Linked DNA regions of Arabidopsis thaliana. The protein of the gene in region 2 purifies or fractionates together with the protein of the main gene of each other region. This does not show direct contact. Each region holds a gene or a part of one and is shown on either strand. Other genes may lie near its edges. The genes, in order: AAC3, AT5G11770 and AT4G32470.

The links.
Region 1: the proteins of AT5G11770 (region 2) and AAC3 fractionate together in Arabidopsis thaliana (co-fractionation; one large-scale study listed by BioGRID). This does not show direct contact.
Region 3: the proteins of AT5G11770 (region 2) and AT4G32470 fractionate together in Arabidopsis thaliana (co-fractionation; one large-scale study listed by BioGRID). This does not show direct contact.

The regions. Positions count from the first base shown.
Region 1 is NC_003075.7:14,041,666-14,045,421, reverse strand, and holds the start of AAC3 (ADP/ATP carrier 3), read left to right. Parts: upstream 1-2,074; 5' UTR 2,075-2,221; intron 2,222-2,237; exon of another isoform or gene 2,238-2,379; intron 2,380-2,612; 5' UTR 2,613-2,640; coding exon 2,641-3,111; intron 3,112-3,189; coding exon 3,190-3,561; intron 3,562-3,639; coding exon 3,640-3,756. Other genes in the region: A7 (Bifunctional inhibitor/lipid-transfer protein/seed storage 2S albumin superfamily protein), read right to left, coding at 694-736, 858-1,027, 1,102-1,431.
Region 2 is NC_003076.8:3,791,286-3,795,041, reverse strand, and holds the start of AT5G11770 (NADH-ubiquinone oxidoreductase 20 kDa subunit), read left to right. Parts: upstream 1-2,015; 5' UTR 2,016-2,112; coding exon 2,113-2,534; intron 2,535-3,659; coding exon 3,660-3,756. Other genes in the region: AT5G11780 (SNF2 domain protein), read right to left, coding at 152-210, 352-1,114. UniProt on the Arabidopsis thaliana protein: Core subunit of the mitochondrial membrane respiratory chain NADH dehydrogenase (Complex I) that is believed to belong to the minimal assembly required for catalysis. Complex I functions in the transfer of electrons from NADH to the respiratory chain.
Region 3 is NC_003075.7:15,669,532-15,673,287, forward strand, and holds the start of AT4G32470 (Cytochrome bd ubiquinol oxidase, 14kDa subunit), read right to left. Parts: upstream 1,719-3,756; 5' UTR 1,565-1,718; coding exon 1,471-1,564; intron 1,360-1,470; coding exon 1,202-1,359; intron 588-1,201; coding exon 540-587; intron 490-539; coding exon of another isoform or gene 489-489; intron 179-488; coding exon 110-178; 3' UTR 1-109. UniProt on the Arabidopsis thaliana protein: Component of the ubiquinol-cytochrome c oxidoreductase, a multisubunit transmembrane complex that is part of the mitochondrial electron transport chain which drives oxidative phosphorylation.

The DNA.
Region 1 (3,756 bases), on a different chromosome or scaffold from region 2:
ATTTTAAAATAAAAAATTGCGAAATTATCTCGGATAATTCTCGGATTTGTACCCCCATTCCCCTGAAACAACTCGCACTATGCACCCAAAAACAATTTCAATTTACTTTCACATCAATCAATAAAGGGTTTTCCTGTGCTACTCGCTGCAGCTGTTATATAGGTGGTGTTTCCGTGTTGGTAACTTGGTATATGGAAATTATGTAACATTGTATTATAGCTGATCGATTGAAATAATCGTGGCTTTGAAAGTGTTGGATCTACTCTGCTGAAGTCACTGGATGTATTTAATTAGGTTGTTGCCATTTACTCATCTGTTAAAAAACAAAATTTTAAACCACGTTCCTCTTTGTAAAAAGCTAAAAGCCTCGTTATGTTATCCGTTTGGCTATGTAATTATAAGTGTAGAAATGTCACGAGAGCCAGAAGTTTTGTCCTTAAGTTTTGATTCTTAATGGACAATTTTGGCATTTTTTGCTTCCCGTAATAATGGTTATTGTAAAAACTAAGAAATAGAAGAGAAGCCATATCTGATGAATATACATATATATAATCGCTTACAGAAAATTCTTCGTACTTTTGTAACACTAGTCACTATTACATCTACAATAAACTCGATTATATATCATTTGTAACTATATAGAACTGTTACAAGGCTTCCCTTCCCAATATTCATAGATATATATCCTGGTAGTTAATTTAATTTCTCAACGTCGGGATTCTTGGTGTTTCTGAACCTGTAATGACAAAATTATACCAGTTCATTAGTTCCTTTATGCACAAGGAAAAATGTAATATATAACATTTTCTTCTAGGAAAAGATTTTTAAAAAACTATGGAGAGAAGAATGAAAATAACTGAGAACAGTCCATATCAACGGAGATGGGAAAGCTGAGAGTAAGAGAACAACGGAGAGGAAGGTTATTAATAGCGGCGGGAAGAAAAGGAAGATGATTTGCATTTCCCATTATCTCAATGCACAGACACACTCTCTCTGTTTCTCCACTATCCTGCCTATTCCTCGATCCCTGCGTAGTTAATATAATTATAGATGGTGAAAGAAGAAACCGAAATAGAAGAATCGAGAATTAAGTCTAGTAACTGGAGACGTAAACTTGACGACGTTGTTCAAGTGGGTCACGCCTCTGCAGCAATCTGGAGAAGGTTGTTGAAATATTCCCTCGACGAAGCCCATGCAGGGCATGAAACTCACGAACACGTCTCTGCAATGTTCCAGCGGATTATTGTCCTGGGAAACGGCGGTCTTCATCAGGACCAAGAACGCTACTACCAATATGGCATGTATCTTCATTGAACTCAGTACACTAGCTAGCGAAGGTGATATATATGATTCGTGTACGAAGAGAAATCTATATCTATATATTATATATATAGTAATCAATTCGTTTCTAAGGTGGAGTTTATTATGCATGGCTTAGTTTAATGAACACATGTAGTTCTCATGTTTCCTTCTTACTCGGATGAATTCCAGCTGAGTTCTCTTTTAGTTTTCTTGAATCTTTTGAAATAATCTACCTACACATATTAAGGTTATTGCATGTAATTCGAGTTTATTTTATATCGCATGACATGTATGATGTGTCTTGTTATCTAATACATGAGCCGATATCATTGCCTATATTCTGGTACTCTCAATACGTATCGGTTTGTTTCATTGTTTGTAGAACATTTCTCTAACTAGTTTTGGATCACTAAATTCGAACCACATCACCTTCCTTGCATCTGTAAAGTTCTGTCCGGCTGAAGAAGAAAAAAAAGATTCAACTTTCTTTCTTGCTTCTTAAGTAACATCCAATTTTTTAAGACCTAGTTAACAAGCCTCTATTATATTTTTCCGGCAAACCAAAAAAGTCTTGATTATTGTTCTATTTTTCTATATTTAATTTTCAGGTAGATGAGACATATATCACATAATGATAAAGAGGTCTCTCACTTTCATTAGGTATGAATTTTATCTTCCTAGGAAAATAAATTTTGGGTCCATTTAGAAGAAGTCAAGACTCGGGTCCCTTAAAATTGGGCCCAGAAAGAAACGGGTCAAAGGAGTCCAGTAGCATTTTCGTAATTGTACCTTCTCTTCTGCTCAGTTTCGTCTTTTAGTTTAGGACCAGAAGTCGAGAATCATGTAGAAACCTACTCTTCTCGCAATTTTCCACAGCTCTCTCTCTCTCTCTCGTTAACGCTTCGGCGAAAAATCCACGGTAAGCTCTCGACTCCAGAAGTTCTAGCTTTATCATTAATGCTTCTCTCCTAGCTCTCTCTGTTTTTTTGTTCTGCTTCTCGTGAATTCTGTTTTCTCGACGCCACTCGTTGCTTGATCTTTTAGAAACAGAGGATTTAATTGAGCTGCTGCAACTAGGTTTTAATTTGTGCTAATTAGGTCGCATTATAGTTGACAGATTGAAATGGTGTCTTTAACGAAGCTAACTAGGATCGTATGAAATGTGTTGATGATGTCTTCTCTGTTTTTGTTCCAGTTTTGGTTATGATCATTCTTTTTTAAGCATGCAAATATAGAAATTTTCGAGAAAGCAAGATTTTGTGGTGTTTAATTTGTATTTTTGTTTTGTTTTGTTTTGTTTTGTTTTTCAGAGTCAGCTTTTACTGATTTGTACAAAAAATGGATGGATCAAAGCATCCATCAGTCTTTCAGAAGCTACATGGACAATCTTACTTGATCAATAGACTTTCTCCGAGTGTGCAAGCTCGTGGTTACTGTGTCTCTGGTGCTTATGTCAATGGAGGTTTGCAGAGTCTATTGCAGCCAACTAGCCATGGCGTTGGCTCGTCTCTTATACCTCATGGTTCATTTCCTGTATTAGCTCACGCTCCTAGTGAGAAAACTGGTACTGGTTTCTTGATCGATTTCCTTATGGGAGGAGTCTCAGCTGCTGTTTCGAAGACGGCAGCCGCGCCTATAGAGCGTGTGAAGCTCTTGATTCAGAATCAAGATGAAATGATCAAAGCTGGGCGTCTCTCTGAGCCATATAAAGGAATCAGTGATTGTTTTGCTCGAACAGTCAAAGACGAAGGAATGCTTGCTCTTTGGAGAGGAAACACTGCCAATGTTATCAGATACTTCCCCACTCAGGTTTGTTTTCTCTTCTTTGACGTGGTATTTGTATAGACGTCGAGATGGGTATGCTAAGCAAATAGTTTTGTTTTGCAGGCTTTAAACTTTGCGTTCAAAGATTACTTCAAGAGGCTGTTTAACTTCAAGAAAGAAAAAGATGGCTACTGGAAGTGGTTTGCAGGGAACCTGGCGTCTGGTGGTGCAGCTGGTGCATCATCTCTGCTTTTTGTGTACTCTTTGGATTACGCTCGTACCCGTTTAGCCAATGATGCGAAGGCGGCCAAGAAAGGTGGTCAGCGGCAGTTTAATGGCATGGTCGACGTGTACAAGAAGACTATAGCCTCTGATGGCATTGTCGGGCTTTACCGTGGTTTCAACATCTCATGCGTTGGAATTGTCGTGTACCGGGGGCTTTACTTTGGATTGTATGATTCCTTGAAGCCTGTGGTTCTAGTTGATGGTCTCCAGGTAAAAAACAAAGAAAACTCCTCACTTCAACATATTGAGTCCTCTGTTACTGTTTACTCATTGCTATAATCTGTACAGGATAGCTTCCTTGCTAGTTTCTTACTGGGATGGGGAATCACCATTGGAGCTGGATTGGCGTCTTACCCAATTGACACGGTTCGCAGAAGAATGATGATGACGTCAGGTGAAGCAGTG
Region 2 (3,756 bases):
ATACAATGTGATTCGGTTAAGAAACCACAGACTTTATTGGACTTCCGACTGAATACACATATAGAAAGCACAGGCCACTAGTTTCAAACTTTCAAGTCACCCAGAGAGAAAAGACTAAATAGATTATACATAGTTTAGTCAAAGAACCAACCACTCCCATTAATGAAGTTAGATGCAGATATGGCTCCAGCAGCATCTTGAGAATGACATCTGTCACAAGAACAAGAACACATGATTGAAAACAAAACCAATTGAGACATCTGGAAGCTTATGAAAAAGGAGTCACTAGTCACATAATGCTTCTCTATTTCCCACAGAATGCAAAGTAGCTAAAGAAAAAGTAACACTCACCAAAAAAGAAGCAACTGTGGAACCCAGATATCATCTGAAGCACAGATTCCTGCAGATCTTTATCTAGCTCGGATCTACCTAAGTCCAAATCAAACCTCGAGCACAAACTGAGCAAGAAAACCTGAGAAGCTACGATTCCAGCTAAGTAACCAACGCCACAGGACTCAGAATCGATCTCTTTACGCAAAATTTCACTAGCAAATGGCATGAACACCTCCAAACAATCCTCAACTCTACAATTATCTTCCACTTCATCCACAACCCAAACTCGACTCAAATCAGCAAAACTAAACCCAGAGACCATCAACACATCATCATCTTCATTTCCAGGTTCATCGACACAGTACATGCTAATATAGCTCACAATCCCTTCTAACAAGCTCAAAGCATCTCTCCTCCTAGAAATAACTAAACGACTCAACTGGTAAACAACGGGAGATAACAGCGATACCTTCTTAACACCGGAAAACGAATCGGAAAACGAAACTATCAGCTGGAAGAAACACGAAGTTAACCTAACGGAATCATCCCGGAAAGCTAACTTGGAAGAGTAGAATCTGATGGCGGAGTAGAACCAGACGAGCTCGAGAGGTGGTGGTTCGGGAAGATCGTTAAGAATACGAGTGAAAATGGAGTCGAAATCGGAGAAATTGGTTCGTCCGCCTCGGTACTGTAACAAGAGCTGCTTGATCGAGTCATTGAGAAGCGGTTTCAGAAATTCGAGGTGACTCTGAGGTCTGGGTTTACAAATCGGAGGTTGCATTTTGGGAATTTTCCGGTGACAGAGAAGGGATTTTGAATTTTGGGAAGTTGGAAGGAAACAGAGAAACCCTATTGAAATTCAAAGAAAAGGGAACGAATAAAGAGAGGGAATCCCAATGTTAAACATAAAAAAAAAATGTGTACATTACATTTTCAAATTGAGTTCACTCCAAAAACGTACAAGACTACTAGTATATTTGTTTTATTTTCATTATGGCAAATACGATAAATGATTTATAAGTGTGGATTAACGAAAATTGCTAGTTACTAAATGATTTATGAAGTAAGGATAAATGCAAATTTCGAAAATTGGCTAATCAGCTAATTTGCCTAAAAGAAATAAAGAGAAAATGCTATGACTTGATCCATTTTTAGCCTTTCTACTTCTTTTCTTTTTGGTCATATGAAACTTTATCAATACAACTTATGTAGAATCATCTTAAAATACAACTTCTAATCAAGAGAAACTTAAACCGACAGACAAAATAAAGTTTTCGTAATTACGAAAAAGTGATTTCTCCAGAATCTAAACCCTATGAACAAAAGACTTAAAACGTCGTAAATACGAACATGAATTTTTAAAACAAATAGAAAGATTTTTCCTAATTATACTGTTATACATCATGTGATTTCTCCAATTCATATCAAAATACAATTGGCTCTACACATTCCATATAAATTTTCTATCTATTTTTTTTTCTTCCTTTTCTTGATATCACGAGTCATACAACCACAATCAAAAACTTAATACTTTTAAAGATTTGATAAATTTTCTGTCTAAATAGTTTTTGTAATGAGAAAGTTACAAGAGTAAATTATTATTGCCAAGTCATTGTTTTATGAAATAAATGAAATACTGTACAAAAGGTGAAAAAAAATGATACGATTACGAGTCATATAAATACTTCGCCACCTGCGTTTAGTAAATGGTTAGAGACTCGTTTGGTTATCACAACTCCACGACGAGAGGAAAAAAAAAACTCAGAGAGACAAATCTAAATGGCGATGATTACGCGCAACACCGCCACGCGCCTCCCTCTCCTCCTCCAATCTCAACGCGCCGTCGCCGCTGCCTCGGTCTCTCACCTCCACACATCCCTTCCCGCTCTCTCTCCCTCCACATCACCGACTTCCTACACCAGACCTGGTCCTCCTTCGACCTCCCCTCCTCCTCCTGGTCTCTCTAAAGCGGCCGAATTTGTGATCTCCAAGGTCGATGATCTCATGAACTGGGCTCGTACCGGATCGATCTGGCCTATGACCTTTGGTCTCGCTTGCTGCGCCGTCGAAATGATGCATACCGGTGCTGCTCGCTACGATCTCGATCGATTCGGTATCATCTTCAGGCCTAGTCCTCGCCAGTCTGATTGTATGATTGTCGCCGGTACTCTTACCAATAAGATGGCTCCGGCTCTTCGCAAGTACGCTTATCTTTCTCTATCTCCCTTATTCATGGAATTAACGGCTGATTTATATCTTTGGATCTCGGATATAGTTTTGTCGTGGGAAGATTTCTTCTAATTTCACTTTGTGCGTTTTCTGCTTTAGAGGCCTCTGAATTAGGTTTTCGGAGGATATAATTTGGGGGTTTCTATTGGAATTTATTCTTTTCCGGCGATTTTAGGGTTCATGTATTCTGATTGTATTGCTAGGTCTGTGACAAATTGAGAATTGCTGTATGGATATAAGAATGACTTGGGAAGCTATACAGTTCGTATTCATTGTCTAGCGCAGATTTAACTAGTGTTTCGTCAAGTTTTTTGTTCGAATTTCATGAAATTGGGAGCGTTTTAATTAAGGGATGAACAAATATGGTGGAGTTATATCTCTTTTTATGTGAGCTCTGTGCCCGTCTTTTGAGGGGAGTTAGGAATTTCAGATTTTCTAGCTTGGTGTTCATTAGGGAAACATGTGTTAGTGTCTTACTAGTAAGAGGTTGGAGGTTCATTGTTATGATGTTTTCATTATCTTGTTTTGTAGTTCCGTCTGTTGACTGATTAGAATCTTGCGTGATGATTTTGCTTAGTTAGAATCTGAGACTTGATGCACATATTTTCTGCTTGGTGTGTGTTTTATAGGAAATTGATATCCGGCACACTTAAGAGATTCCTCTTTTTTTTGTTTGATGTATGAAGTCTTCATTCAAGTGTAGAACTTATGTTCTTTAGATGAGAATCCTGTTGTTAAGAAACGTATGCCAATGGCTGCTGTGCTTATATTAATGATAACTTTAGGCCCAGACACTTAGAAAATATCCCAAGTCAATCTTAATAGCTAGAGGTTGTGTAAACATCAACCAATAAGACGAGCACATTTTAGATGCATTCGGGAGATGATTAACTGCTTTCTAAGTTGGTTTAGATTAGTTCTTATACTGAATTTAACTATTAGTCAGAAACTAGTATATAGAGATATGTGCAGAAATCAGTCTTGATCTGGTAAGATTGAGAGAAGTTGTATATGCGGATCAACTCAAATGATTTATGGTTCTGTTCTTCTTTATCCTGTGTGAAATTCCAACTTCTAATGTTTGAATACAATCACAGGGTTTATGACCAGATGCCTGAGCCAAGGTGGGTGATTTCAATGGGAAGTTGTGCCAATGGAGGTGGATACTATCACTACTCCTACTCGGTGGTTCGA
Region 3 (3,756 bases), on a different chromosome or scaffold from region 2:
CTTTTTCAAATAGTAAATAGCTCTGTTCAGAAAGTGAGCACCAAAATATCAATGTTGCAGATTTATGCAGAGAAGCAGCGTTGACCACAAGAAAAGGGGAAAGGAATGCTTATGGGAGTGTGCGCTGGTATAGTGGTAGAGCTCCCAAGGCCTCTCGTTCCTTGCTTTCCCTCTCAACCTGCAAATCACAACATAAAGACAGGGATGATGACAACGATGATGGGCTATCCTTACAGAAAAGTTACACTCAGAACTTTTCAAACATTGCAAACATTTTCTTTATGATGCAATACTTCATGAAATAGGGAAATTGAAGATCTGAAAAAAACATATTGCTTCAAATAACGAAGGAAAAGACATGCATCTCATCAAAGTTTTCATCATTGTCAATGCAGGGAAGCAGATAGGCCCAAAAGAAAGAGGAAACTTTACTTCAAGAAGGAATAGTACGCTTTTATGACACTGAATTGCAGTTTGATTGTTCCTACCCTAGACGCAGATAATGATTTCTATGTTAGTTCATCAAAAAGGAGACTTACAAGAGCAAGCATGTCCTGAAGATAGCCACGGAATGGGGTCTGCACCGCCTGTATATGAAATAACCACATCAAATAAGAAAGTTACAATATCCACAACACTACCTAACAGTTGCAATTTCTGATAGCTTAATCAATTTTGGAAAACTAAAAGAGCCTTATACTTTTAAAGTTGTGAACTTTTGATAGCTTAATTAAGCCAGCAATAATAACAGTTACATTCTTATCTAATAACAACATCAAATAAGAAAGTAACAAAAATCGAAAAGTCTAAACCATAGAGTAATACAATAGTATACATGCAAACACCACTTTACTTTATTGAAAGGGAAAAAAAAAGATGTAACAAGGATTCAACCTTTCATCAATCCAAAATTTCCAATAATCTCAAGCAACAGCAGAACAAACACAGTAACGCAAGAGACAAGCATAGACTATGCATAAACTAGTTTATATACATCTAAGCTCCACAATCACAAAATCCCCAAAGTAAAGTAATATCTTCTGATGAACTAGTTTCGATTTCAATTTGATATCTTAATTTCTTCATTTTTCTAGCATTTAATCAATATTCGAGCTCAAATGCCTGGGTTACCTATCCATATTCTAGATTGATTCTAACAACATCAATTTCATCCAAAGAAATAGAGAATGAAGAATTATACCTGAAGATCCTTGGGGAGGTACTCGTGCTTCATGGAGAGGTCCATGGCACGCTTGAGACGCTGGTTACGAGCATCAACGACCTCCCTGGGCAATCTGTTCATAGCCTCTTTGATGTCCATACTGTAATACTGATCGTACAGATCATCGTACCTCAGACCTAATTAATCATTCAAACCAAACAAAACAAAGCAGATTCAGATTCACTCATGAACATTGACAACAAACTCGGATTTCAGAAATTAGGGTTATGGATCGAGAGAGATCTGACCGTATCTGCGAAGGCGAGTAGATATGGCTTTCATATGCATACGAGCGAGGAAGTTCTTCTTTGGATCGATGAATGCTTTCAGAAGCGACGCCATTTTTCTCTGTCTCTCTCAATTTCAGATTTTCTCTCTTTGTGCCAATGAAAGAGACCAAGCTGCTGTGTCTACAACAACTCCTGACCTGAGAGAGGAAATAATCACATAAGCTCTGCTTCACGTATTTATTTGGGCCTTAAGTGGCCCATCTAAGCTTCACGTATTTTTGACATATATAGGTCACGTACTCACGTAGTAATATTTGGGCCTTAAGTCGCTCAGCTGTAGCGTCATTTAAGGCCCAGTGATAACTTGTATTTAGATTATAAACTAACTTGTCTTAATAATTCACAAGAAGCACCAGTGGTCTAGTGGTAGAATAGTACCCTGCCACGGTACAGACCCGGGTTCGATTCCCGGCTGGTGCAAATTTTTAGTGACCCTTTTGTTTCGTGTTTCACAAATACATGCATTTAACTCTTATTCGATCCTACTTAAAAAAAAAAAATGGGGGAAATTTAAGTTGTAAAATCCACTAAACTCATGTGAATGTTATGTATAGGCAAAGCTAGTTGTATGAATGGTAACTAGATTAATCACAAAATTGATATACCAGTTGTGAAAAAAGAGGGTTTAATTTAATAGCTGGAATGAGAAATGATAATCTTGTTATATAGATGAGGTAAGTTAAACAATTATAATTGTATCTTCATTCTTTACTCTAGACGAATTGGATTCCGGCTAACACCACTACTTGAGAGTTGAAAGGCATGTTTTTGTCTGCTTATGATTAAATTAACTTAAAAAGTGATTAAGTATCGTCTCAAGTTGCAAGTGTAATTTAAGGTTAAAATGTTGTGACTTTAACAAAAATACTCTCAAATCTTGTGTTCCCACTTTCTTAGCAAAGCATTTTAAACAGTTTCTTGTCAATATCTAAACTAACTTTAATTAAGGTTAGGTTAAAGAGATAATCATGCATGTAGTAGGTACTTGATTTAGTTTGATATATTTTTAGTTTGGTGGGATTTTTGATCACGACCCATATCCTAATTGCTATTTTTTAGCCACGAAGTCGTCGTCATCATCCTTATCGTAAAATATGAAGTAGGCCTAAAGTTCAGTCCCATTTAGCTTCATGAGTTCATAATTTTTGTTTTCCAAATAATTGTGTTCCGATAATAACGCACAACTATGAATTGTAAAAGTTTGTTTTGTTTGTTTCAAAAGACAACCATATATAACTCGTCTGACTGAGTGGTTAATGCATGTGGGCATGTATAGTGACTATATGAGCTTGTCTCAATATTTGATGTTTTGAACAGTATAAACCGGTTTTAGCTTAGCACATAATACTCTCTCTGCTAAGCTCACGTTAATTTAATTAGATATATATTTATCAAATCACATAAAATTATATTGTATGGCAGAATTATTCAAGCAAATGCGTATATAAGTTATAAAATTTGGAGTGATGAACTGATGATTAACTTTACTGGACTGAAATGTTTTAAAAATTGTGTAGACTTGGTCTTTCTTTTACACAAAATGTTATAATTCGCTGATAAACAGCTTTCATAGCACATGGTTTTGGCCTCAATGGCAGTTAATTATTCAGTAACTAATTAATATCACGTTTGCCTTCTTTTTAATTGGCCCTTTTTGGCCGTCTCAATTTTTTTTTTAAAATGGAAATTATAGTTTAGTTTAAATTTTGTACTGTCACAAATTGTTGTCATATTGATAGTAGTTATCTTTATTTAAGATTTGATTTTTACACTTTTACACAACATTCCAATATTTCATAAGTGTTTGATAGTGAGGTCCATATATATTACACTGAAAAGTTGTATTTAATTTATATGATGAATGCAAATTGCCTTAATTTATTAGATAAACAACACTTTGTAGATCATTAAGAAATGGAACTTTAGTAGCACTTTAATTGTTTTTGCTTGGACATTAGATTGATTGTGAACTTTGATTTGATTATTGTTGCTTTATAAAAACACAATAAAGTGTCTACAGATAGATATTTAGGATACAATGTTTTAGATTCTTATTTTTAGGATGGGAATATCCCATCAGTCTAAATGCTGGGAGACAAACGAATTTATGAAAAAAAAGTATTCCATATTGATTCCTTCTTATCCCACTCTTCTTCCTGAATAAAGCTCTTAAATTCAAGAACTAAATGTTTAAAAACTACATAAATAATGTGGAATTCTCTGCTATTCCTAGGCGAAATGTGG